Linked DNA regions of Callithrix jacchus. The protein of the gene in region 1 interacts with the protein of each later gene in a pairwise test. Links are inferred from orthologs where the notes say so. Each region holds a gene or a part of one and is shown in the gene's direction. Other genes may lie near its edges. The genes, in order: CCDC33, BLK, NCK2, BCCIP, melanoma-associated antigen D1, LMO2 and ZGPAT.

Region 1 (3,500 bases):
CACAGAGCAGATGTGATCTCAGCTAACTGGCCTGCCCCACTCCCTTTGGGGGCCTTGAAGGTGGAACAAGGGCTGGTGGCGATGACATCTTTGCTTCCATCCTGGGGTACCATTTGTGCACCTTGCCCTCTCCCCCACAAGGGGTGCAGTGTGGCTCCCCCTGCTACAGGACCTCCAGGATGACTCCTCAGCCCATGACTGCTGCAGTTAATGGAGCAGCACTGTGGATGGCCCTGACCTAGTAACCTCTTCTAGAGGAGAAGTATTTACTCTCTCCTGAGCCGTTTGATGGCTCTGCATCTCAGATACCTGTGAGGTGCACTGGGATGCAGAGGGCCCAAGCTCACATGCCACCTTGAACAGGCCGATCCTGAACAATTTGGGTGCTGCAGGGCTGAGAAGCCCTTGCCACCACCACCTGCCCCCAGGCCCAGACCCAGCTCCAGGGGTTCAGCCCAAGGCTCGGCACCAGCAGGCATCGCAGAAGGCACCATGTACGTGCTTCATTGCAAGCATTTAGAAATGGGATTGCTGGGTGGAGCCTAGAATCTGGGCCAGAAGTTTAGGGAAATAAGGTGAAGAAGAGAGGACAGCCAGGCGGGGCACCGCACAGCCACCCTGCCCAGAGGCTTCCTCCCACCAGAGAGAACCTAGAGAAGAGGGAGGCCATGCACGTGGGCACCAACTGGAGAGCCCTCCCTGGCGAGGACAAGGCATCTACCCCTACCCCTACCCCTGCCCTGAGCCTAAATGAGAGGCCTGTGTCTGAGTGAAGGCCTCAGCAGTGGCCAGCAAGACAGTGTGGTCACTTGGGCTGGCAGGGGAGCCAGGGGAGAGGCCTGGAGTCCCCTGGGCCTGGGATGACATGAGGGTCATGCGTGTGGGAAGGAGCTCTCCATGTTTTGTCCACCTTTCACTCAGATTTATGGACAGTGGAGCTTGGAAGGGGGATAGCAACAGACAGGACCCCTCTCTCTGACTCACTCTGCCCCCGTTCTCCCCAGGAAAAGCACATCTGAAGAAAAGAATGACCAGAGCTCCAAGGCAGTCACATTTGTGACCTCAGAGCCCACCAGAGCCCCTATCTGGGGGGACACGGTGAACGTGGAGATCCCAGCTGAGGATGCAGGGCGAGAAGGTGAGGTGGGGGCTGGGCGGGACCTGCATATGTAGGCAGCGGGGGAACACGGCCAAGGACTCAGGGCAGAAGCAGGCTCCCTTTCAGCGCAGCTGGTAGCCACCTGCACACTTCCCTGGGCTCAGTTAAAAGCACTTAGAACAAATCATAATACTGTCACACCTCATCTCCCCATCCTGCTCGAAAAATGAGTTGTTCCACATAAATGAATTTTCCAGACGATGCAAGCTTATCTTTTTTTATGACTGTTGTTATTATTTTCATGGCTGTTATTACTGCCGTCTCCCACTGAAACAGGACATTACAGTGTCCCAGCACGTCCCCACACATCGCTCACTGGAGTTACCAGCTCCCAGGAGGAGCAGTGCTGCTCCCATTGCTTAAGAGAACATTGAGGTTCAGGGAATTTAACTGGCTTAAGCTGAAGACCGAGGACCAAGGACTCCACATGGCATGTTCTCACTGCAGCTCCAGGGTTCTTGCTACTTCCATTTGATTTTTAAAAAAATATTTGAAAGGTCCCTAGAATGGATCCCTATTCCTTCCTAGCCCTCCCCAGGTCTCAGCCTGAGCCAGCAGGTGCCACGTACACACAAGCATGTGCACACTTGTATCTACTTTCACACTGTGGGTCTGTTGGACTGTGGGTCTGAGCTCCTGGGGGAGCTCAGGTGGGGAACATGGGAATGCTGACTGGTTGACACCCAGACCGTGCGGCATCACATTGGGCACTGTCAGAACAGACCGGAGGTGCCTGGTGATGTCTCTGATCTTATCTAGTCGGAACCTCAGACTTGCTTCTTGCAGGTGGTCTCTCCCTGAGGGGACAGGCTTGCCTTTCTCCCTTGAAATCTTGCTAGGGATCTAGACAGAACTCCTTGTTCTCCTCACAAAGAGCAGAAAGCCAGCTGAAGACTGTGAAAGGGGAGAAAGGAAATGGAGTGGGAGCCTCCATAAAAGGGGAAGGAGCTAGTTCTAGGTCAAGCGAGAGAATTTTTCTTTTCTGCCTGTAAAGGGATAGGTGGAGCTGCTGGGATGCTTTAACAAGATGCAAAAGAGGAGGAAAAATTGACATAAGATTTCATGCAGAGGCACAAGCGTGCCTGTGTGTGCATGTCTTTGTGAATGCCTGCATGCTGGTTCATGCGCATGTGTGAATGTGATGCGTGCTGTGTCTACTTGTAGGCATGCGTGTCTGTGTGGCTTATGTGTGTGTGTTTGTACATGGGTGTGTCTGGCTGCAACAGTGTGGTGTGTGTGTGTCTGGATGGATCTGGATGGTGGTGTGTGCCTTGCAGTGCATGAGTATGTGTAGTTTGTGTGTGTGCCTGTGTGTGTATGCATGCATGCATGCATTTATGTGGCTGGTGGGAAGTTAGAGGTTGTGGTGAGTGGACCTGAGCTGGGATCCTGCCCTGGGCTCTACACACTTGGGGTAACAGAGGGAAAAATGTAATGAGGTCAGTGACCCCTGGGCCCATTGTGCAGCAGAGAGAGGGGCAGGACTAACTGCAGGAGGGACAAGAGAGTGGGGAGGCTGCCTGGGCAGGCAAGGAATATTGGCAGGCGCCTCACTGCAGATTGAAGTAGCTGGATGGTTGTTGGTACCGGTTGCTGTGGTGATGTCTGTGGTGGGGGTGGGGGAGATGGGGGCCAGGCCAAGAGGCGGGGGAAGGGTGGGAGGTAGCTTAACGATGTGTTAATGAAAAGCGAAGGGGAGTTTCAGACCCTGTGTCAGGGCCAAAGCAGGCGGGTGGCAGAAATAGCTTGTTGGCCACACAAAGGGAGCAGTGGGAGGCCGGAAGGGCACAATGCCCAGAGAGGAAGCTGATGAAGCGTGTTTGTAGCATGCAGACAGGAGCAGGGAGGAGTGGCTGTCCATTACCCCCAATTCCAGCTCATCTGATGACTGCCCACACAGAGCTCCAAAAATAGAGGGTGCAGAAAATGCATGGCACTCACCTCTCGTTCAACCCTGGCAAATCCCAACTGGATCTGGGGACTCTTGGTCCATGGTGAGTGGGCATAAGGGGCTTCAGTCTGCACAGCTCCTGGTAGTGCTTTGGCTGGGAGCATTGGAATCCCCCAGATGAGTTTCCTCAGGTCTGCCTACAGCAGGGTTTGTGTATGGAGAGCTGCAGATGGTTAACAAGGAAGGAAAATAGTGACAGCCACAAGGAGTGCTTGCACAGAATGTTATAGCTTGAAAACACAGTCTTCTCCCTACCACAATCCAAGGGGGGAGACATGACTTCTTTATTAAAGTCTTAACATGTGGAAGAGGAGGAACATAAAGCTGAAAGAGGCTAAAAGATTTGCTGACAGTCGCAGAGCAAGTTAGTGTCTTGATACTAGAACCCAG
Region 2 (3,500 bases), on another chromosome or scaffold:
GTCCCCGGAGATCACCTGGCTGCCTGCTCAGGCCCTGCGCCTGCGGCAGGGACGGGAATAACTCATGCATGGTTTCTACCCAAGGTTGTCTTTAACCACCTTACTCCTCCACGGCCCGAGGAACACCTGGACGAAGGTAAGAAGGGTGGTGCGGGAAGCTGAGTCTCCACGGCCCCCTCCCCTTGTGGAGTTGAACAGGAAACAGTCGGGAGCAGCTTGAGGGCTGGAGAAGAGAAAAAGGGGAAGCTGAGCGGGGCCCAGGCTCCGTGCCTCTTGGGGGTGTCTTCAGGAACCAAGCATGAATTTCCTTACTTTGCCTGAGCCTGGTGGGACTTTTTGAAAATGAAAGACTTTACAAACTGTAAACAAGAATAAAAATAAGGGTCCCAGAGAAGACACACACCATCATCAAACCCAAGCTTGCAAAGAGTCTAACTCCCAAATTCAGAGGATGGGCAGTGGCTCCAGGCCCTTGCCTCCAGCCCTGGGCTGCGCCCCGTGGAGGACACCTTCTTGTTTCCCCCTCCCAGCCACTTTGACAGTCACCTGCTGATCACCTAACCACCCATGCCCCCTCCCTGGTCCCCAGATGTCACCTTTTTTTTTTTTCTTTTTTGAGACAGAGTCTTGCTCTTGTCGCCCAGGCTGGAGTGCAGTTATGTGATCTCAGCTCACTGCAGCCTCCACCTCCTGGGATCAAGTGATTCTCCTGCCTCAGCCTCCCGAGTAGCTGGGATTACAGGTTCACACAACCACACCTGGCTAATTGTTATGTTTTTAGTAGAGACAAGGTTTCACCATGTCAGTCAGACTGGTCTCGAACTCCTGATCTCAGGTGATCTGCCCATCTCAGCCTCCCAAAGTGCTGGGATTACAGGCATGAGCCACTGCACCTGGTCCCCAGACTCCACTTCTGCTCTGGTGGGCTGGCCTGCTGGATGCCGTAGGGAATGAGCTTGGTCTTCCTGGGCCAGAGGCTCCGCCCTCAGGGGCTCCCAGGAGGTTGCCTTTTTCACAGTGACCTCCCGCAGCCTCCTCATCATCCACGTCCACACAGCATGGGGAAAGGCTGCCTCAGCCAGCCTGGGTCACACCCATTAACCTGCTCACGCCACATACAACAGGCATTCAGCACATGGGGTGCGACTCTGTCCCAGGAATGGTGAAGGGGTGACAACAGGTAGATGCGACTCCCTCCCCGGGAAATTTCAGTATCTGTCACACTCGTGAGCAGAACTTGGATCTTAAAACTGCAGGGAACCGCTGTTGCCTATTCCAACCCCCTCTTTCCTGCTGAGAAGTGACCAGCCCAAGGTTACACCCTCAGCTCAGTGACAGAGCTGAGCCACCTCACCTGGAGAAGCTAAGCGCTCTCCAGGTTACCTTCACCAGGTGGGTCCTGTGGCTCCCAGGGCTGTGCAGAGAGCCCTCGTCACAGAAGTACTCATTTGAAGATGGTGCTCCAAGCTCCCGAGCCCTCTTGCCCCTTCCATCCAGGGCCTGCCAGCAAGTCAGGGGGTCCATGGGACACTGGCAGCCACAGGCAGTGTGGCAGAGCTCGGGCACAGACAGTGGGGAGGCCAGGGCTCCAGCTGCCACCTGGCAAGACCACCCCTCTTGGGCACAGAGGTGGGAGGAGGTAGAGGAGGAAAAGGGCAAGAGGAACTCACAGGCCTCTGAGACCAGGTGTGGGATAAGATGAGGGACTGCCAGCACTGGCTCCCAGTGTGGGCCTGAGGCCACCAGCCCAGTAGTGGCTGCCTCCCTGTGCTGACCTCTGGCCACCAGCGAACTCACACATGGCCTGCCCAGGCCATAGGGCTTCTTAATGGATCCAGAAAGGAGGACAGGATGGGCTCTTGGGGCAGCCCGTCCTGGTGAGGTCACAGGCAGGGTCACGGGTGGGGGTGGGGGCCTGTTCTGGATGAGAGTGTCATCTCCAGCATGGGCAAGCAGAAGACCGCCCCTCCTGGTAGCCAGAGGTGGCTCCCATCACAGGCTCGCCCCAGCCCTGCCCTCCCTCTCGGGGGCCTGGTCATCTCTCCCTGGTTCCTTTCAGATGAGCATTTCGCGGTAGCCCTCTATGACTATGCCGCCGTGAATGACCGGGACCTGCAGATGCTGAAGGGGGAGAAGCTACAGGTCCTGAAGGGGTGAGGCTCCAGGACGCCGTCCCCTGTCCCTGCAGGAGTCCCACCACATCCCTCCCTCCTCTGCCCACCACATCCTCCGTGGCTGACCCCAGAAACCTTCCCCATTGCCCTGCCCCCATCCCTAGCCCCAGCATTTTCTTGAACTTGGCCCTTTTGTCCCCCTCTCCAGACTCTTTCTGGTGAAGTGATTTCCATTCACAACTTCCCGCTTATCCTTCAAAGTTCATGTTCCATGCCACCACCTCCATGCAGCCCTCCTGACTCCTTTGGGCATGTGGACCTTGTCCTTTATGCAGGCCGGTCTGGCTGTTCCTTGAGAGCCTTGCATTTAAGTCAGTCATGTCCATATTTGTCTCCTTCTTAAGACAGACACCCACATGGATTACACACGCCCATCCTGCTTTAGCTCATTTTGTGTCCTTCTCAGAAACTCCATCTAGGCCCGCTCTCTGGGTGACCAGTCTTGCCCCCTGGAGTTCTGAGGGTCTGATTTTGTTCTTGAAGTTCTGCAGTGACCTTGAGCCAAGCTCATGAAAGTCCTGACTATTGATCCTATACAGGCCGCCCGACTGTGTCTTCCTCAAGCCTGTCCCAAGTCCCTCACCAAGCTCCGAACACATCCCACTCATCAAGAGGAAGGCTGCTGGCCAGAGCCCTGGGTCCTCTTGGGCTGGTCAGGCTGTACAGATAAGCTCTTCCCCCTAGAGCTTACCCAGATACCCACCATACCACGGAGCAGCAGGCACAGCCCCTTCCTGCCTGCCATACTGTCTACCTCTGCGGATTCTGTGCCTTCCAGGGAGAGGTGGCATTGAGGAGGCCTGGGAGCTGCCCAGAGATGGGCCCACAGAGGCCATGATCACAGCTCTGTTTCTCCTGCTCCCGCTAGAACTGGAGCCTGGTGGCTGGCCAAGTCACTCGTCACAGGAAGAGAAGGCTATGTGCCCAGCAACTTTGTGGCCCGAGTGGAGAGCCTGGAAGTGGAGAGGTAGGTGGCACGGGAAGTCCCTTGGAGCCAAGGTCCAGTCATTGTCTCTGCTCCCTGGGCTGCTAGGCAGGGCAGGACCAGAATGGGACTGACCTGGGAACCCGCAAGCACCAGCAAAAAGGGGACAGGAAATTAGCTCTGCTGGAAAGGCCCCTCTGCTGGTTCCAGATGACAAGTTCAGACCACTGTGTGACACTGAGCAGACTGCTGTGTGACACTGAGCAACCCGCTGTGTGACACTGAGCAGACTGCTGTGTGACACTGAGCAGACCACTGTGTGACACTGAGATACTGAGTAGTCTGCTGTGTGACACTGAGCAAACCGCTGTGTGACACTGAGACACCGAGTAGGCTGCTGT
Region 3 (4,201 bases), on another chromosome or scaffold:
CTTTCCTTATTGTAAACTAGGAATTATTAACACAAGGCTTTTCCAAAAGGATGAACTGAAGTAGCTTCTTTCACAAGGTCAAAACAAAGGAAAAAAAAAAAAAAACGCTGTCCCAATTCCCTGAGCTTATATCTGATTCCTGCTCAGTGTACTGTGCCTCCTTCCACTTATTGAGCTATTGAGGGCTACCTACTGCCAGGGTACTTCACATAGGAGATAGGTAAATATTATCTCCTGGCCGGGAGCAGTGGCTCGCACCTGTAATTTCAGCATTTTGGGAGGCTGAGGCAGGCAGATCACAAGGTTAAGAGATCGAGACCATCCTGGCCAACATGGTGAAACCCCATCTCTACTAAAAATACAAAAATTCGCTGGGCATGGGATCGGGCACCTGTAGTCCCAGCTACTCCGGAGGCTGAGGCAGAATCACTTAACTGGGCAGGCAGAGGTTACAGTGAGCCGAGATCATGCCACTGCACTCCAGCCTGGCAACGGAGCAAGACTGTCTCAAAAAAACAAAAACAAAAACAAAAAACTCCCCATTTGACAGATTTTAGAAAGGATAAGGCCCACCTGTGTGAAATTACACAGTTCAGGAAGTCAATAGTCACTCACCTGTCTGACTGCAAAGCTACACTGCCTCTAGTTACCTATCTTAGGGTATTTCCTTTCTGGAAGAGGCAGGAGATGAGTGAGTCAAATAATACTGCTTTATAATCTTGGGTAAGTTATTATTGCCTTAATAGTAAGCAGAGATTAGGAGCCTAAGAAAGAATCTTATTAACATGGATGCAGGCTATCCTGCCAGAAAATCAGAATTATTTGAATATTAGAATTTCCTTTGGGAAATCACATGGGGAGGAGCAAAGACATCCGGATGAAAGTGCCTGTGAAAGGGAAGCTTGTGTTTTTCCCCTTGCTCTTGGGTTTTAATCTTCCAAGTTTGTTTACAGGTTAGCCACAACTCGAGGCTGTGTGGGCTGAACGGTCCCACTATTAGCCACCCACCTTCTAGGGGCCCATTCGGGCAGCTCCTCTTCGGGTTTTGCCCCACGGGTGTGCAACCAGGATTCCACTGGCTGGGGCTGGCCTGGATGCCTGCGAGGCAACAGAGGTCGAGTTTCCTCTCCTTCTTTTAGGGAGTGCCTCGGACGGGATGATGGACTAAAAACGTGTCTGGTTGGGAAAGTAAATAGATGCAAGGCAAATAAATAAAAATGCCCACAAGCAATTACAGGGAGGAAGTGACATTTTTATACAAGTCACTTTTCTGATGGACAACAGGCCTGCTTCGCTGACTGCCGTGGGAGTGCTTCCGGGACGGGGGCGGCTGCCCAGCAACTAGAGCTTCGTGATAAGAACATGAAACAAACAAAAAAGAGCACGCAAAGCCCACCCGGCAGTCATCCGAGGCTGGAAGTTACCACTTGGGTTTTCACTCTCCTCCCCACCCACCGCCCGCGCGCAATTTCGGGCGTAGGGACCCTTTCCTGCACCGGACGCCCGGCCCGCGCTGCGCCTGCAGAGCGGAGCGTCCCCTAGCCCTGCTCTATCCCGGAGCGCTTACCGAGACCCAAGACGCGGAGCCTGGTGGCGCCGGGGGGCGCCCCAGGTGGGTCTCGGGTCCCCGCCCCGCGCGCCCGGGCCTGGGCCGGCCCCTGGGCGGCGTCACGGCGCGGCCGGGGAGGAGCACGGGAGGAGGAGGAAGAGCGCGGAGGAGGCGGGCGCTGAGCGCCGGGGGAGGGTCGCCGCCGCCGCTGCCGCCGCCGCCGCCGCCGCCGGGATCGTCAGGCCAGAGCCGCGCGGCCGAGCGGGCGGCCGGCGGAGGGGAGGGCTCGGCGGCTGGGAGGCTCGCGGCGCCCGGGCCGGCGGGGTCCGCCCGGGCCGGCAGCGTCCGCCCGGCGGCGGGAGGAGGGAGCGGCGCAGACAAAGAGCGGCGCTTGGGCGGGCGCAGCGCGGCCGCCGCCCCGGGACCCGCGCCGCTGCCCTCCGGCTCCGCGGGCGGCCCACGGCGAGGTAAGCGCGGCACGGCGGGAGCGGGGCGGGGGCCGCAAACTTGGGGCCGTTGGGCGGAGTTGGGAGCTTAGCGGGGCTCTCGGGCCGGGGCGCGCCCGGGCAGGGGTTGGGAGAGCGGGTCCACTCCGCGCCCCACCGGTGCTCTCGGCCCCGCCGCGGCCTGGGCACCCCCGACCGCGAGCTGCCCCGCTCCTCCTGGCCCGGCACCTTCCTGCCTGCCTTCCCGTCCCCACCCCCCGCCATCGGGGGCCGGCGCAGGGGCGGGGACGCCCGCCAAGGGCGCAGGCGGGGATCAGGGCAAGGGGCCCGGCGGCGGGGCCCGGGGACTCGAGACCCCCGGGTGTGCAGGCAGCTCTTGGCCTGCTGGCCGGCGGCTGGCACGGAGCTTGGGGCTAGCGTAGGACCGTGCAGTGGCCAGGGTCGCCAGGGCGCGCGTGCTAGGGAAGAAGAGCCGGGGATCTCAGGGCCCCGGCGCAGGGACGCGGGAGGCCGAGATCGGCCGGGAGAACTTAACTGTGTTTATTACAACTATTTATGATCGCGCACAAAGCTGCTGTCACATCGCATAAAGGAGGTCCTCGCGTCGGCGAAGGGAGCTTTTGTGCCCTGCTTCAGGCTGTGCGCCCTGCCCCAGATTTACAGGACTCTTACAGCCACCTGAACCAAAGTTTCTCACAATCGCTCGGCCTTTCGGTTTCTTTCAGGGCGATTTAACCACCGAGTGGTTCTGGAAACATTTGATATGTGAGTTTTAAGGCACCCTAACTCCCTTACAAACACAGTTAGCTTGGCATTGTGTGGAGGGGTTTAATTTGCCACACACTTTAACTTGTAGACAGTAAGGATCTCTGTGAAGGTCTGCGCTGGATGCTAGGGGTCATTGGCTGGTGGACCCCAGGCACCTGACTTAAACTAATATTGTAACAGCTTCAGGGACAAAGCCGAGCGTGCATGGAGTCGGCCTTGGCCACTTCAGACAATTCAGGTTGGCAGATTTGGCTTTATTTTACCAACAGGTTTAAGGTTGCTTCTGCCAAGTTTGCGTCTGCATAATGGGATAAGCAGGCCCTAGTGTGGGCAGGAGGGGCTTAAAATATCGCACTGGCCAGCTCCCTCCCTAGACCCAGAAAGGAACTAGCCAGAGAAGCCGGTGGGCGTGGCTTGCTCGGGACCCACAGGTAGAGGAGTCCCTTCCTGGCCCAGGCCCCAGACCCAGTCCCTGCTTCTCAGAAAGGATTTTGTGTAGGAATGAAAGTGATTCAGGTTGTGTTTCATGCTTCTGTTTTGGATGTAGTTATCGAATCTGAAAAGTGACTGAAAATGAAATTAACCTGGGCTGCTTTAACTTAACAGTACAGAACTGTGCTTGTGAACACTCCCTCAATTCACTTTCCAAGCGTTCATAAACGGGTGAATTAGTAACAGGATTCAAGCCAGTGTGAGGTTTCTGTAAAGAGAACGGCAGTCATGGGACACATGGAGAAGAAATGCATTTCATCTGGAGATTGGGCTAGACATGTAGGTTTTTTGATGTTTGAAACAGGGATTTCCTGCGAAGCAAGTGTTAACCCTGCTTGTGAAGAAGTGACCACAAGGGAAAATCCTACCTCAGTATTTTCTCCCCTGGAGGTTGGTTAGATGTAGTTTTGACTGGAGACGGTGGCAGAATCTTAGTGCTCTTTTGGCGGCTACTTGATGCTGAAATTAAGAACTTTGGCCATGGGAATCTGTGGAGGTGCCTGGCCCACTTCCTGTCCTGGAGGCCTTGCATGGATTCTGAGCTTCTTTCCTGCTTCATAAACATTCAACGGGATTGATCATGAAACACTGGATGAAATTGGGTCATAAATTACCATCAGGGAAAGTTGGCTGCTGCATAAACCCCTCTGTCCGCTTGTGAAGAAACTGACCCTATTAACGATGGGACTTGCTGAAGGCCCTTTTCAGGTAGCTGTGCTCAGTTTTCAGGCTTTGTGTTTTGCTTAGGACACACTACATACTTAAATCTTCTTCATCTCTCTCTGTTTGATCCTGCTGTACTTACCCAGGCACTGTCATTTACATTTGGGGTTATTTAGCTTTTCCAAAACACAGCAGATCTTATGTACACAGTACCATATTTGAGAAATGCACTATCATCCATATTAAATACACTGGAAGTCCTCCTTGACTGTGCACAGACTGG
Region 4 (3,990 bases), on another chromosome or scaffold:
TGCAAACTTCGTCTCCTGGGTTCAAGAGATTCTCCTGCCGCAGCTTCTTCAGTAGCTGGGACTACTGGCGCCTGCTACCACACCTGGCTACTTTTTATATTTTTAGTAGAGACGGGGTTTCACCATGTTGGGCAGGCTGGTCTCAAACTCCTGACTTCAAGTGATCCACCCACCTCGGTCTCCCAAAGTGCTGGGGATTACAGGTGTGAGCCACCGCGCCCGGCTAATTTTTGTATTTTTAGTACAGACCAGGTTTCGCCATGTTGGCCAGGCTGGTCTCGAACTCCTGACCTCCGGTGATCCAGCCGCCTCGACCTCCCGAAGTGCTGGGATTACAGGTGTGAGCCACCGCGCCCGGCCCCCGCGAAGCATTTTTAATTGCAGTCCCTGGTTTTAAAAAAAAAACTTTAGATCAAGAAACGCGCTCCAGAAGTTTGGCGAGGGTAGGCTGGGCAGGCGCCTTCCGTCACCGGCGCAGCCGTAGGAGCCACAGACCTCCTGCCTGGGCAGGGCCAGGCCCGCGGCGGCCTCCCGGCCTTGGCCCCGCGAAGTCACACACCGCCCTGGGCCGGGGCCCTGCACGCCCGCGGGCCTTGGCCTCTGCACTGGTACCGCGGGCGGCGACACCTACCTCGAGGGGCTGGCGAGGCCTTAATGGGCTAAAAGACTGGACCGTGCCCAGCACCGGGCTTAGGACACCGCAGGCGCCCAGTCGGGGGTCGGTGTCGCGCAGTCCCAGCGAAGAGGCTGCTGACGCTGCAGGAGCAATGACAAGAGGGTGGGCAGCCTCCTCCCCAGGCAGCCTCAGGGCTGCGGCAGCGACCCGGGCCGGGTCCTAGGACCCCGGCACCTTAGCCTAGGGTCGCTGTGTGGCCGCGCGCACCGCTGGGTGCTCGCGCATGCGCCTCTAAATCCAGGCCGCGGAATGAGGCCTAAGGCTAGATGGGTTAAACCACTAAGCGAAGGGGAGGGGAAGCCTTGGGAGGAGTGAGAGAGGGTGGAGGGAGGAAGGAAAAAGCAAGCTAGGACCGCAAGCTGGACCTGACTGTAAGGGATCATGGCTGCAGAATCCAGCAGGGGCATTGGGGTTGGCGTGTACCCATCGCTGAGCTTCTTCGTAATCCCTCCCCCGCTTGGCTACTATGGGCTGGTCTGTAAGGTCGGGCTACGGGAAGCTGCGCAGGCGCAGTGTGGGCGGTAACATGGCGTCCAGGGCCAAACGGAGGGCTGTGGGAAGTGGGGTTCCGCAACCGCCTGGCGCCCCGGTCCCGCGCGACGACGAAGAGGAAGATGAAGTCGACGATGAGGACGAAGACGATGACGACAGTGACGAGGAAGAAGATGAAGACGACGAGGTCGTCGACGAGGTGAGAAGGACACACACTTCTCTAGTTGGCTTATGAACTTCGTGGCAAGCCCAGGTTCCGAGGGTCTGTGATCAGAACCTGGAGAAAAGTTGTTTCTCAGGTTCCTCCTCGGCCTTTGACACACTGCAGCCGTCGTAGTTATTTCTCAAAGGCCTACCCCGATCCGGTTATTCTCGCAACCCGCTTCCCCGCTAAAAAGCCCGCCGCGGCAGGTGTGTTCTTCTCGCCCGCTTTAGTGCTCAGGCCGAAATCTCAGATCCTGAATCGGCCACCCGGGGTCCGCAGAGCCGGCCCTCTCCCCCCGGGGCAGCAGCTGTCCGCCTCTGCACTGTGCAGGCTGCGCTCACGTGGGCCCTCAGTTTCTCGAAGGCTCCTGCCGGGTTCTACCGTAGAAGCCTTTTCAGAGATGCTCTTTCCCTTCCTTCTTCAGATCTCAGCTAGGCTGTATTTTCTGGTTTCCTGGGGCAGCTGACCCAAGGCGTGGGTAAATCTTTGGCTTCATAATCTCACCGAACTGGTTCCTGTCTTCAGAATAGGTCCTACCCTAGTGCACTTATTATTTGTTTAATAAATAATTCGGACTGAGTGATCCTTCAGACTATTGAATGTCTAAATAGATACCCCAGCCTTAACTTGTCCAAAGCAGAATTTGTATAATTCATGCCCCTCTCTTTAACCGTCGTCATTTCTGTAAATGGTCCCTAAATTCACCAGCTGTGTGATCAGTCTTCCTTTACAAATCTTTACTTTGGCTCTGTGCCTCGAATGCCATCTCACCGTTGTTCACTTAGAACTTTGGCTATTTTATGGGTTATAGAAAGCAGTGATTCTTGTGCTAACATGGGAAGTCTATCAGACGACCACAGTCTTAATTCTAAATCACCTGGGAATGAGGGACAGGGCTGATTTCTACAAACGTGGCTGTTCCTGTTGAAACCATGTGGAGATGATCCCACACCCGGGAAAAGGGTGCTGGACAGATGATCCATTTGCTGCCCATTTCCCTGGTGGTGCCGTAATAGGCTGGGACAGAGGTCCGAGGTGTCTGTCTACACAAAGAAAAAAACACTGGAAGAGCATTATTTACAGAATGTATTTAGATCTAAGGAATAAATTTAAGTCCTGAATAATGACAATTTGTTATTTGGCTTAGTTTGATCCTGTTTGGAACGCTCCCACCCTACCCCTTGTGTTTTGCTACTCACATAATCTGGCTGAGTTAGCGTTTGATCTGCAAAGCTGGACTTAAGGAGTTCAAATTGGAGCTGAAATTGCTTCAAAATTGCTTAGAGCAATTCCAGGGCGTTGCAAGTTTAACAATTCAGGAAGCCTTAAATATATGCATAGTCCGGGTGGCAAGGTAAAATTGGGTTTAATTTCCTCTGTGTTGTCCTTCAGCTAAGACCTAAATTCCCAAACCATTAAAACCTGAGGAGCATCAAAATAAATTATTTAATCAGAGCCCGAGGTTCATTGTATCATTTATCAAGGTATGATTTAGGGTCCTCAAGGATGGATCTTGATAGTGTTTAAAAGGAACTAGGTTTTGTTTTTGGTATTTCAGTGCCATCTTCTTTTAGATTATGTTGTCTTGAAGATACAGATCAGGGAGCCCAGCTACACATTCTTTCTTCTAGTTCCTCGTGCTCATGATATTTCCTTCTGCCTTAGGGCCTTAGTTTGTGCTGTTCCCTGTACCAGCAACCCCCTTTGCTTTTTCTTGGTGCCTTGCTCAAGTGTCACTTCTTTAAGGAAGCCTTTCCTTTCCTGACTTATTTTTTAAGTTGTTATAGCACTGTGATACCTTTGCTTTATTTCTACAAATATTTCCTTAATGTCTGTATTCCTCCCTAAATTGTAAGCTGCGTGAGAGCAGGATTATTCGTGTCTGCCTTACTAACCTTTTCTTTTTTTTTTTTTTTTTTTTGGAGGCGGAGTCTTGCTCTGTTGCCAGGCTGGAGTACAGTGGCGCAATCTCAGCTCACTGTAGCCTCTGCTTCCTGGGTTCAAGCGATTCTCCTGCCTCATCAGCATCCCGAGTAGCTGGGACTACAGGTGTGTGCCACCATGCCCAGCTAATTTTTGTATAGATTTGGGGTTTCATCTGCCCACCTCAGCCTCCCAAAGTGCTGAATTTACAGGTGTGAGCCACCACACCCATTATAACCTTTTCATCTTGAGTGTCTGGCATAGTGCTTGGTACCTGGATTGGTACTTAATAAATATTTGCTAGGTGAATGAAGTGTAACCTCAAATCCATGAGCTAAATTAAGCTCTAGGCAATTCCAGGGACTTTTGAAATGATTTTTATTTTTGCCCACTCTTTTTGCAATCAGGAAAATAATTTTTTCTTTGTGGCTGCTGTGACTGGTTTATTTGAACTGGACTTTCTCAACATTTAAACTAGGTTACTCTGAGTGTTTTGTTCTCTCAGGCTTTTGTGTCATGAAGAAATGTTGTGATGGTGCTTTGTATTCTCTACAGATGGCTATCTTGGCAATGTTTGCCTATTTTAAAGCCTAGATGTTTGTAGTTTTTCTGATAACTATTTTATGTGTTATTTACAGGAAGTGAATATCGAATTTGAAGCTTATTCTATATCAGATAACGATTATGACGGAAT
Region 5 (4,073 bases), on another chromosome or scaffold:
CTACAAAAAATAAAAAGGATTAGCTAGGCATAGTGGTATGCTTCTGTAGTCTAGCTACTCAGAAGGCTGAGGCAGGAGGAGCACTTGAGCTTAGGAATTTGAGGTTACAGTGAATTATTATCATGCCAATGCACTCCAGCCTGGACAACAGAGTGAAACCCTGTCTTACTAAAGAAAAAAAAAAAGGAACTACAAAGATAAAATCAATATATAAAAATATCAAAATACAAAATATGAAGATTGATGGGATTCAGCTAAAGCACTGTTTAGTGGGAAATGTGATTCAAATTGTTGAAATAAATTGTAAAAATGCCAACAAAACTAAGGACCTTATTGCTAGTTTCCTTCTTTGCTCTGACCACATTTTGGTCATTTATTAATTTAACAAATATTGATAAACACATATTTTATGCTAGGCTCTTAAGTGTTTAAATGTCATTTTAGCTCTAGGCTGTGGGCTTCTAGTGTAGTGTCTCTGGGTGTAGCATAGTATTTGGGACATAGTAGGTGCTCAGTATATACTTGTGGATTGACTAAAAATAACCACAAAAAGAGATCCTCCCCTTTGGTGAGAACTGTGGTCTAGATTTGGGGGCCAGGAGAACTTTCTGGAGGTAGTGTCAATAAATAATTCAATGTTAAACTTGTTCTGAAGGTATTTAACCAGAGTAGAGTTTTTAAAAAATTATTGAAACATTTTTTTCAGTTTTCATTTTCTTCCTTTTCTTGGGGAGTATGTAAAATAATGCAAGAATGCTTTCTACAGGAGTCCAGCTTTATTCTTTGGACATTTGAGTATGGTATGTAACTCTGGATACGATTTCAAAGCAAAAGTTGTTTAGACTTAAGATGTTTTGAAAAGGTTGACACATACCGCTAATACAAATGGAATTTTTTCAAAGTGGTGTGCCAGAAACAGTAAATCAGTTTGGTAAATATGTCACTGTAGACATCCAAGACAGAGAAAAATGAGGCCTAAGTTAAGGGACTAAGATGAAGGGAGATATTTCTAAGGCGAATCAATGAGAGGTGGCAAATTGCACCTGATGGATTTGGCAGAGATACTGCAGCTCCTGGCGTGACTAGAACTAGGATTTGTAAAAAGTTCGTGATTCTCTCAGCCCGTTTACAGCACAATGTAGGTGTTGATCTAGTGAGGGAGTCAATGAGATAGAGCATTGCAGAGCTTGCTAGAGAGGCACAGGAAGTCGCCTGAAGTGAAGGAGGGGGTGGCTGCTGCAGAAGCTAAAGCTTCCGCCAAACAAAAGAGGACAGCACTTCCGGTCACGCCATCGTCGCTGCCTTCTCCGTCAAGGTGAGTGTAAAGAAGGGGTCTTGGTAATTCTCACATATAAATACCGATACACTCCAGGGAGACCTCCTTTTGTGCCTCAACATGGGGTGGAAAGGAGAATTCATCCCCGCGTACGTTGTAGGAAGGATGCTTCTGACGCATGTGATTCTGATAGCTTCACTGTCTCCTCCCTTCTCCTCCGGAGATGGGAGGTCCCATCCGACTCCCCTTCCCGATTCTTGTGGTCCTTTTTATCTACCTGACTCTCGGTCATGCTTCACCTCTCTTCTTTATCCCAGATCCTCTTCTCCGGTCTGGAGGCAGGGTCATTCCCTCAATCACATTCCCTCTACCACAGGTCACTCCTATCTCCTACCTCTTACCTCCGCCTTCTGCCCCGCATCCTTTTAGCCTGCGACTCTTTGCAAGCCCCTTCCTAAACCCTGTTTTACTCCCGCTGCTGGCCTTTGGTCTTTCCCGTTCCCCTCCTCCAGAGACCAGTGAATTACGTACTTTGCAAAAGTAGGTGTGACTTCAAGGTCAAGGCTTTTTTTTTTTTTTTTTTTTTCTTTTTTGGTTCTTTTAAAGTAGAAGGAAAGAAGCAGAAACCTTAGAGCCCTAAGAGACATAGGCACTTGTTCGAATTATGTTCTTTTATTTTTTTAACTCTAAACAAAATTACACATCATTTAGATACTATTGCACAGATTTCTGTCTTCTCGTTGCATCTGTTTTTTATGTTGCCATAGGATTGAATCCCCAAATTTTTTTGGGGGGGGCGGCAAACGTAGTGGATTATACCTATAACCAGGTGTCAGAGCTTCAGAGAGCGTAAACTTTCCCATCCCCTGTAAAAGTTAGTGGAGAAATGGTTGACAGGCGTGGTATCCAGCCACAAATTTATTACTTTATATGAGTTGAGTTTATTATGCAAATTATTTTCTGGTCTCTGATAGCAGCATTAAGCACCAAGCTGACATTTTTTGAGACAAAGACTTTTTCTCAGAGCTTTGCAAGTATTACATAATCTATTTGTTGCAATATGAAATTACTTTTCTGTTACATTTGTTACCATGTCAAATTTATCTTGTGAGAACATCAGTTATTAAATAATAATCACAGTTTATTATTGCCTTTACTCAAATGATCATTAAATTTATGGTGAGAATCAGAGTTTTTCAGGCTCTATCAGAATCTAAAGAGGAATTTAACCAAAGTTTTCTTTGAACAAGCAGTTTACTCCCTCCTGTGTGTTATGCTTGCCAAAATAAGGGGTGATCCTCTTTTCTAGGCCATGGATAGTTTTTATTTAAGAATAAACAGGCCAGGCGCGGTGGCTCAAGCCTGTAATCCCAGCACTTTGGGAGGCCGAGGCGGGTGGATCACGAGGTCAAGAGATCGAGACCATCTTGGTCAACATGGTGAAACCCCGTCTCTACTAAAATTACAAAAAATTAGCTGGGCACGGTGGTGCATGCCTGTAATCCCAGCTGCTCGGGAGGCTGAGGCAGGAGAATTGCCTGAACCCAGGAGGCGGAGATTGCGGTGAGCCGAGATCGCGCCATTGCACTCCAGCCTGGGTAAAAAGAGCGAAACTTCGTCTCAAAAAAAAAAAAAAAAAAAAAAAGAATAAACAGGCTGGGCGCGGTGGCTCACGTGTGTAATCTCAGCACTTTGGGAGGCCAAGGCGGGCAGATCACCTGAGGTCGGGAGTTCCAGACCAGTCTGACCAACATGGAGAAACCTGTCTCTACTAAAAATACAAAATTAGCATGCCTGTAGTCCCAGCTACTCGGGAGGCTGAAGCAAGAGAATCGCTTGAACCCAGGGGCGGAGGTTGCAGTGAACCGAGATTGCGCCATTGCACTCCAGCCTGGGCAACAAGAGCGAAACTCCATCTCAGAAAAAAAAAAAAAAAAAAGAATACACAATGAGGCAGAGCTTTTGTGACACCAAAACCCTTAGGAACATTTCCAAAGAGTATTGCTGATGTCTGTTTATTCAAATCATTATTACGTATCATTTAAATATTATCACATTCGTTTCAGCCCACTGTGCATCTCCTCACCTGTTTTTTTCCCCACATCCCAGATATGTCATCACACAGGTAAATAACTCACTATGTATCTCTAATTTATAGGTGCATTAAGTAACCACCACATCATTATTTTACTTAGTAAGATAAATAATTTCTTCTTTTTTTTTTTTCTGTTGTTTTGTGATGAGTCTTGCTCTGTTACACAGGCTGGAGTGCAATGGTGTGATCTTGGCTCCCTGCAACCTCTGCCTCCTGGCAAGTGATTCTCCTGCCTCAACCTCCCAAGTATCTGGGATTACAGGAGCCTGCCATCATGCTTGGCTAATTTTTGTAGTTTTAGTAAAGATGGGGTTTCATTCACCATGTTGGTCAGGTTGGTCTCGAACTCTGGACCACAGGTGATCCACCCACCTTGGCCTCCCAAAGTGCTGGGATTTACTGGTGTGAGCCACTGCACCTAGTCAATAATAATTTTTTATATCATCTAATACTCAGTCTATATTCAAATTTCCATGATTGTCTTTTCTTTTTTTTTTTTTTTTTTTTTTTAATTGAGACCGGGTTTAGCTCTGTTGCCTAGGTTGGAGTACAGACATATGATCAAAGCTCACTGCAGCCTCGATCTCCTGGGCTCAAGTGATCCTTGTGCCTCAGCCTCCTGAGTAGCTGGGACTACAGGTACATGCCACCACACCCACCACACCCAGCTAAAATTTTCTTTTTTGAGACAGAGTTTTGCTC
Region 6 (2,556 bases), on another chromosome or scaffold:
TAGCTGTGACTACAGGCATGTACCACCACACCTGGCTAATTTTTTGATTTTTTTGTAGAGACAGAGTTTTGCCATGTTGCCCAGACTGATCTCAAACTAGTGAGCTCAAGTGATCACTTGCCTCAGCCTCCCAAAGGGCTGGGATTACAGGCGTGAGCCACTGGGCCCAGCCTGAGAATTTGTATTTCTAACCTGTTCACAGGCAGTGTGGGTGCTGCTGGTCCCAGGACCAAAGCTTTGAGAACCATGTACTGAGCCCTGCCATGTTCTGTCTCCCCCTTGACACTGAATACTGCCTGAAATAAGTGACTGATGAACAGGCTTGGGAGAGTCTTGATTTAAATGTCAGAAAAGAAGTTTCCCTTTTGACTCATGCCAGTGGGGCAGCAAGGACCATGAATTAAGATCTTCCATTCATGGTGGAGAGCTCCTGTTTGTCCTCCATATCTCAGAGGCACGATGAGCTGCAGCACATGTTTTCTGTGGAACTCCCCATCTCCCAGCAGCTGGGGCCCCAGTGAATAATTAGGTGGAGATGTGCTTTGCAGCTTATGGAGATATTCAAGGCCAGCTCTCCCCATGGGTAGCATCAGCAGCTGTTGACATGATAGAGTTTGGGAGCCTCAGAAGAATGCCCATTTTATTGCAGTCCTGGTCAGTATCCTCTCAGAGGGGCCCCGTGGGTCTCACTCCAGCTGCTCTTCTGAAATGAGGGTTCCCCTGGGAGGGGACAGGTAATACTTGCCTAACTCCTTATCGTAGATCACATCAGCTGAGAATCTCCCCCACAGAGGAGGAGCCAAGGGGCAGCCTAGCGGAATGTGGAACGGTTGCTGCGGATAGGGGCTTTTTTTTGCCAGATTCAAATGCCAGTTTCATCTGGGTTTGCTCTGCCTCCTGGGAAAGACTGCACTAGCCGGCCTTCCTTCTGGATCCGACCTTTCCAGGCTACCTGACATCCTGAAAGTCCAGCCTCCTTTCTGGGGCTCATCTCCGAGCCCTGCCTTCCAGGATTGTCCCTTTCACTCCTTCTTAGCTTTTCTTTCTTTTGCCCCAGGCTTTTTGGGCAAGATGGTCTCTGTGCATCCTGTGACAAGCGGATTCGTGCCTATGAGATGACGATGCGGGTGAAAGACAAAGTATATCACCTGGAATGTTTCAAATGTGCTGCCTGTCAGAAGCACTTCTGTGTAGGCGACAGATACCTCCTCATCAACTCCGACATAGTGTGCGAACAGGACATCTACGAGTGGACTAAGATCAATGGGATGATATAGGCGCAAGTCCCCCCAGGCATCTTTGGGGAGGTGTTCACTGGAGACACCGTCTCCATGGCGTCTTTACTCATAGGCACTTTGGGGGTTTGAGGGTGGGGTGAGGGATTTCTTAGGGGATGGTAGACCCTTACTGGGTACCAAGACATAGCATCCAAGTGGCATAATGCAAGGGCTGACACTTCAAGGTGACAGAAGGACCAGCCCTTAGGGAGAACTTATGGCCACAGCCCAGCCATAGTAACTGACATGATTGGCAGAAGAAAGGAGCATTTAGGGACAAGCAGGCACTGTGCTATCATGATGGTTTCATATCTACAGATAGGGAGTTGTTGTGTAAAGACTTGTGACTTTGATGCTTGCAGACTAGAGACGTGCAATTGATTTCTTTCCTTCCTGGCTTGTGTAACACCCCTGTTTTAATCACCATCCTCCACACGAGGGAAGGACAGAGAGGAGAGTGGCCATTCTTTTTTTTCTGGGCCACCTTCCCAAGGCCTTAAGCTTTGGACCTGAGGAAAAACACATGGAGACACATTTTGGTTGAGAATGGAAACCACAACTTTTAACCAAACAATGATTTAAAGCAATGCGGATGAATCACTGTTTTTAGACACCTTCATTTTGAGGTGGGGAGTTCCACAGATTGTTTCTATACAGATATAAATCTTAAAAAAAAAGTTGTTCAACTATTTTATTATCCTAGATTATATCAAAGTATTTGTCGTGTGTAGGAAAAAAAAAACCAGCTCTGCAGACTTAATAAAAATGACAGACTGAAATGCAGTGTTGTTTATTTGCTTTCGACTTATAATTTGGGATGGCGGAGAAATGGTCTGTGTTTTCTGTTGTAAAAGAGAAGCAAATATGCAATTTACTCTTAGGTCAAATAAAAACTTCTATGTGTTGCAAGGGTTTGTGTGAGGCAGGCACATTTCTATATTACTGGCAATTATATAACAGGTCATCATGTAGCTCAGAGGGATGTAGAATAATTAAACTGTTAGTGTAAAATATGCATTTCACTTCAGCATTGTGTGGAGGGACTGGAAGGCAAGATCATTGCCTTTGGGAAACTTGTAACCTAGAAAGGACACAAATACATAAAGCAGATTCCCTTTGGGAGAGAAGGTAATTACCTAGTTTGAAATGTGGCAGAGATGCTGAGCTTGACACTTCGATTTTCCAAGACGGGTGTCTCAGGGTGTTTTATGACAAGTGGTTAAGAGGACCTTTACTTTGAGGATTTAGAGCAAGCACCTTGGTTTGTGTATTGCCTTGA
Region 7 (4,255 bases), on another chromosome or scaffold:
CCGCAATGGGAGCTCCCCAACTGCAAAGTGCCAGCCAGCCTGAGAGACAGGCATTATAGCAAAGGACCCACACATATGGACGCTGACCCAGGGTCCAGCCCAGGATGAGGCCAACTCCCAGTCAGAGCCCTGCTCTGGGTGACACGGGTGAACATCACAGCATCCTCAAGGTCCCAAACCCACAGCCCTGCTATTCAGACCCCTTACTGTTGAGACCCACGGTGGTGGTGATTTTGGATAGACTCATCCCCTTGTAGTTCTTGTTAAACCGGGTTTTCGACTGCTCCAGGAAGGTCTGAGGAGAGAGGGAGGCAGACACATCAAATAGGGACTACAGTGTTTCCCAAGTCTTTTTCCCAAATATCCTTACTCAGGCCTGCTCCTTAAAAGACAAAAAACAGAAACAAAGCAACGTTCTGCTCTTCAAGAAGCTGGCGGTGACTACCCTGTCTTCTCAGAAGTCTGGATTCTGTCTGGGTGGTGAGCATGCAGCTGACACCAGGTCGTGGGGAGGGGCTCAGGCAAGGGAGGGGCACTCACCGTCTTCCCAGCATTGTCCAGGCCCAGGATCAGGATGCAGTACTCGTCCTTCTGAAACATGTACTTGTACAGGCCGGACAGCAGCGTGTACATCCTGCCCTGGACACCCCGACAGATGTCACTGTACAGCAAGAACGCACCCGCCCCCCGAGTTTCTCCACGGTGGTCAGTGGTGCTCCACGTCCAGCTGACCGCTCAGGACTAGAACCTGGGGCCATTCCCGACTCCTCATCTCTCTTCCACCCCATCCCTTTGTGACTCTTCGGCCTCCGTAACTTCTCCCAGATCAGCCACCCTCCGCCACTCCTGCCCCGGGGCCTCCCTGCCCGCGGGACCACCCCGCCAGTGTTCACAGTGAGCTCGGTTGCGCCCCCGCCCTCCCCCCCGCGTCGCTCCCACGCTTCACGCGCGCGGAACGGGGAACGCACTTGCTGCAGCCCCGCCTGGGCACAGCGCCCTCGGGTGTTCGGCCGCGAGCCCCACCCAGTAACAGCCAGGAGCCCCTGCAGGCGCCCCATCACCCCGTTTCTTAAAACGGGGACGGCCTGTGGAGAGCGGACCCGCAGGCAGCGCGCGGCGGGCGGGGACGGACTCCCGCGGAGGAGGAACTGCGCTCGGGCCCCCGGGCTCCCGGCGGCTGCCAGTCGCGGCCGCCAGGTTCGAGGCTCGCCGACAAGCTGCTAAAGCTGGTTCCTGTCACACCCGCGTCCCAACCTCGAGTCCAGGGCCGCCTCTCGGGCCTCGGGCCCGGCCGCACAGCCTCCGACCTACCTGCGTCCGCCGCGGCCTCTAAGCCGCCGCTGCTGACCCGGCACCGACCCCGCGCGGGGCCTGACGGGACGCGGGCCGTGGGGCAGAAGCTTAATCGCGTCCCGGCGGCCTCTGCGCTCCGCTTCCCGGCTGCCACCGCGCGCCAGGCACTTCCGGAGGCGGCTGCGGCGGGAGGAAGTGCCGGTAGGCTGCGAGGGCGAAAGCGGGGCTCCGGCCTGCTTTAGCCGGTGAGGCCGGCGGGCTCTCTATGGAGGCGGCTGGGAAACCGCGCTGAGGAGGTGCGCGGCCCTGGCCGGACGGAAGAGAGGCCGGGCGGGGGTCGGGACCAGCCTGCAAGGCTGCGGGCGCGGCGGGTGCGCTCGGCGGAGGGCCGCGCGGGGTCGCCCTGCGGGGAGGGGGTGACGCGGAACCCGGCTAGCAGCGAGCCCGGGGCGGCTCGGAAGGGAAGTGCGGAGCCCGAGCGGGGGTACCGGGCTGCGACCTCCGCGCCGGGAGCTATCGCTCTGAACCGGTGTCTCCGCGAGGGAAAGGGGACGTGCCCGTGCCCGCCGCAGGCTGTGGTGGCGGCTGCGAGACCCTCGCTCCGTGTCGGTCCCGAGACGCGGGGCTCACCAGGCCCCTCTTCTCGCAGCTCCGGTCCAGCGCCTCCCTCTCTCAACATGGATGAGGACAGCCTGGAGGCTGCCCTGCAGACCTACCGTGCGCAGCTGCAGCAGGTGGAGCTGGCCCTGGGCGCCGGCCTGGATTCGTCCGAGCAGGCCGACCTGCGCCAGCTACAGGGGGACCTGAAGGAGCTCATCGAGCTCACCGAGGCCAGCCTGGTGTCCGTGAGGAAGAGCAAGCTGCTGGCCGCGCTGGACGGAGAGCGCCTGGGCCAGGAAGATGCTGAGTACCAGGCTTTCCGGGAGGTCATCGCCGAGGCGGCCCCTGGGGCCGGATCAGAGACAGTTCCTAAAGCAGAGGCGGGGCCAGAATCTGAGGCAGGTGGGCAGGAAGAGGGAGAGGAGGAAGAGCTGAGTGGGACCAAGGTGAGCGCGCCTTACTACAGCTCGTGGGGCACCCTGGAGTATCACAACGCCATGGTGGTGGGCACAGAAGAGGCGGAGGATGGCTCGGCGGGTGTCCGTGTGCTCTACCTGTACCCCACTCACAAGTCCCTGAAGCCCTGCCCGTTCTTCCTGGAGGGAAAGTGTCGCTTCAAGGAGAACTGCAGGTAAAGCCCTTTGCTGTCAGATGGCAACCTCGAGGCGTACGGGGTGCACATACAGGGTCAGGTCAGGATCGGCCCTCCCTTTGCAGTTGGTCCCAGCTTCCTGGGGCAGGCGGGCTGTGAAAGCAGTATCCTTGTTTAGGCATGTGCCTCTTTCTTCTGGGATAAGAGCAGGATGCATGGAAGGAGGCTAATCAAGGTGGCTCACGCCTGTAATCTCAGCACTTTGGGAGGCCCGGGGGGGAATCACCTGAGGTCTGGAGTTGGAGACCAGTCTGGTCAACATGACGAAACTCCATCTCCATTAAAAGTACAAAAAATCGGCCAAGCACAGTGGCTCATGCCTGTAATTCCAACACTTTGGGAGGCCGAGGCGGGCGGATCACGAGGTCAAGAGATGGCGACCATCCTGGCCTACATGGTGAAACCCTGTCTCTATTATAAGTATAAAAGCCAGCTGGGTATGGTAGTGTGTTCCTGTAGTCCCAGCTGCTCGGGAGGCTGAGGCAGGAGAATCGCTTCAATCCAGGAAGTGGAGGTTGCAGATCACACCACTGCACTCCAGCCTGGTGACAGAGTGAGACTTCGTCTCAAAAAAAAAAAGTACAAAAATCAGCTGGGCGTGGTGGCAGGCACCTGTGGTCCTAGCGACTCAGGAGGCTAAGGTAGGAGAATCAGTTGAACCCAGGAGGCTGAGGTTGCAGTAAGCCAAAATTCAGCCACTGTACTCCAGCCTGGGCAACAGAGCGAGGCTTATGTGAAAGAGAATAGGTCCCCAACCTATTGTCAGTTTTGTTTGTTTTTTTGAGACAGGGTCTTACTTTGTCACCCAGGCTGGAGTGCAGCCTGGACTTCCTGGGCGCAATTGATCCTCCTGCCTCAGTCCCCCAGGTAGCTGGACTACCACACCCAGCTAATTTCTGTATTTTTAGTAGAGGTGCGGTTTTGCTGTGTTGCCCAGGCTGGTCGCACACTCCTGAGCTCAAGTGATTCACCCGCTCTGGCCTCCCAAAGTGCTGGGATCACAGGCGTGAGCCACCGCACCCGGCCCTGTTGTCAGTTTTATTCTCTAGAATTCAACTTTTAAATTTACTTTAATGGAAATTTTGAAACCTGCCCCAGATGAGAGAGCCTAGCATAATCACTGCCCACAGTCTATTATCATTTTGCTTGTTCCCCCGCCCCGCTTTTTCCCTTCCTGGATATTTTAAAGCAAATTTCAGAAGGTACTGGGTTTTTCCAACTATGAATACTTCAGAGTGGATCTCTGATAAGGAAATATTACTTAAAAAGTAACTTTTTGAAAGTCCAAGTCAGTGTGAAGACAAGAAAGAGTCACTTCCACATCATTATAGATAACACGTTTCATGGCAGCACCTCTTCCATGTTCGAATATCCACAGCTATTACCATGATGTCTCCATTTCCATAAGCGCATAGCTTTATTTTTGCTCCTTTTTACTTTTCTCTGAGAAGAAATATTTACCAGGCTTTCTAGTAGGTAATTTTCTTTTTAGCCAATAGTTCAGGCTGGCCAGGTAGCACTCCTAGTTCTTTGGATGTCTTACTTTGTGGGGGTTTTTGTTTTTGTTTTTTTTAAGCAGGGTCTTGCTGCCCTGTCACCCGGGCTGGAGTACAGTGGCACAATCTCAGCTCACTGCAATCTCTGCCTCCCTACTTCAAGCCATCCTCCCACTTCAGCCTCTCTGATAGCTGATACTACATGCGTGTACTG

Evidence for each region.
Region 2: the proteins of CCDC33 (region 1) and BLK interact in a two-hybrid assay, tested with the Homo sapiens proteins (3 studies listed by BioGRID and IntAct). The two-hybrid records come from large-scale screens. The link is inferred for Callithrix jacchus from reciprocal best matches to the Homo sapiens genes CCDC33 and BLK.
Region 3: the proteins of CCDC33 (region 1) and NCK2 interact in a two-hybrid assay, tested with the Homo sapiens proteins (2 studies listed by BioGRID). The two-hybrid records come from large-scale screens. The link is inferred for Callithrix jacchus from reciprocal best matches to the Homo sapiens genes CCDC33 and NCK2.
Region 4: the proteins of CCDC33 (region 1) and BCCIP interact in a two-hybrid assay, tested with the Homo sapiens proteins (3 studies listed by BioGRID and IntAct). The two-hybrid records come from large-scale screens. The link is inferred for Callithrix jacchus from reciprocal best matches to the Homo sapiens genes CCDC33 and BCCIP.
Region 5: the proteins of CCDC33 (region 1) and melanoma-associated antigen D1 interact in a two-hybrid assay, tested with the Homo sapiens proteins (2 studies listed by BioGRID and IntAct). The two-hybrid records come from large-scale screens. The link is inferred for Callithrix jacchus from reciprocal best matches to the Homo sapiens genes CCDC33 and MAGED1.
Region 6: the proteins of CCDC33 (region 1) and LMO2 interact in a two-hybrid assay, tested with the Homo sapiens proteins (2 studies listed by BioGRID). The two-hybrid records come from large-scale screens. The link is inferred for Callithrix jacchus from reciprocal best matches to the Homo sapiens genes CCDC33 and LMO2.
Region 7: the proteins of CCDC33 (region 1) and ZGPAT interact in a two-hybrid assay, tested with the Homo sapiens proteins (2 studies listed by BioGRID). The two-hybrid records come from large-scale screens. The link is inferred for Callithrix jacchus from reciprocal best matches to the Homo sapiens genes CCDC33 and ZGPAT.

What each region holds. Positions count from the first base shown.
Region 1 is NC_133509.1:21,103,042-21,106,541, forward strand, and holds part of CCDC33 (coiled-coil domain-containing protein 33), read left to right. Parts: intron 1-1,004; coding exon 1,005-1,138; intron 1,139-3,334; exon of another isoform or gene 3,335-3,500.
Region 2 is NC_133514.1:10,520,035-10,523,534, reverse strand, and holds part of BLK (tyrosine-protein kinase Blk), read left to right. Parts: intron 1-84; coding exon 85-136; intron 137-2,059; coding exon 2,060-2,153; intron 2,154-3,042; coding exon 3,043-3,141; intron 3,142-3,500. UniProt on the Homo sapiens protein: Non-receptor tyrosine kinase involved in B-lymphocyte development, differentiation and signaling. B-cell receptor (BCR) signaling requires a tight regulation of several protein tyrosine kinases and phosphatases, and associated coreceptors.
Region 3 is NC_133515.1:15,811,118-15,815,318, forward strand, and holds the start of NCK2 (cytoplasmic protein NCK2), read left to right. Parts: upstream 1-1,401; 5' UTR 1,402-1,612; exon of another isoform or gene 1,613-1,668; coding exon of another isoform or gene 1,669-2,529; intron 2,530-4,201. Other genes in the region: uncharacterized protein LOC118147454, read right to left, coding at 1,669-2,529. UniProt on the Homo sapiens protein: Adapter protein which associates with tyrosine-phosphorylated growth factor receptors or their cellular substrates. Maintains low levels of EIF2S1 phosphorylation by promoting its dephosphorylation by PP1.
Region 4 is NC_133513.1:119,131,363-119,135,352, forward strand, and holds the start of BCCIP (BRCA2 and CDKN1A-interacting protein), read left to right. Parts: upstream 1-1,190; 5' UTR 1,191-1,202; coding exon 1,203-1,367; intron 1,368-3,934; coding exon 3,935-3,990. Other genes in the region: UROS (uroporphyrinogen-III synthase), read right to left, coding at 174-372. UniProt on the Homo sapiens protein: During interphase, required for microtubule organizing and anchoring activities. During mitosis, required for the organization and stabilization of the spindle pole.
Region 5 is NC_133524.1:52,079,226-52,083,298, forward strand, and holds the start of melanoma-associated antigen D1, read left to right. Parts: upstream 1-1,273; 5' UTR 1,274-1,315; intron 1,316-4,073. UniProt on the Homo sapiens protein: Involved in the apoptotic response after nerve growth factor (NGF) binding in neuronal cells. Inhibits cell cycle progression, and facilitates NGFR-mediated apoptosis. May act as a regulator of the function of DLX family members.
Region 6 is NC_133511.1:99,233,470-99,236,025, reverse strand, and holds the end of LMO2 (rhombotin-2), read left to right. Parts: intron 1-1,057; coding exon 1,058-1,277; 3' UTR 1,278-2,056; downstream 2,057-2,556. UniProt on the Homo sapiens protein: Acts with TAL1/SCL to regulate red blood cell development. Also acts with LDB1 to maintain erythroid precursors in an immature state.
Region 7 is NC_133506.1:59,197,781-59,202,035, forward strand, and holds the start of ZGPAT (zinc finger CCCH-type with G patch domain-containing protein), read left to right. Parts: upstream 1-1,455; 5' UTR 1,456-1,494; exon of another isoform or gene 1,495-1,589; intron 1,590-1,942; 5' UTR 1,943-1,970; coding exon 1,971-2,524; intron 2,525-4,255. Other genes in the region: ARFRP1 (ADP-ribosylation factor-related protein 1), read right to left, coding at 208-295, 541-633. UniProt on the Homo sapiens protein: Transcription repressor that specifically binds the 5'-GGAG[GA]A[GA]A-3' consensus sequence. Represses transcription by recruiting the chromatin multiprotein complex NuRD to target promoters.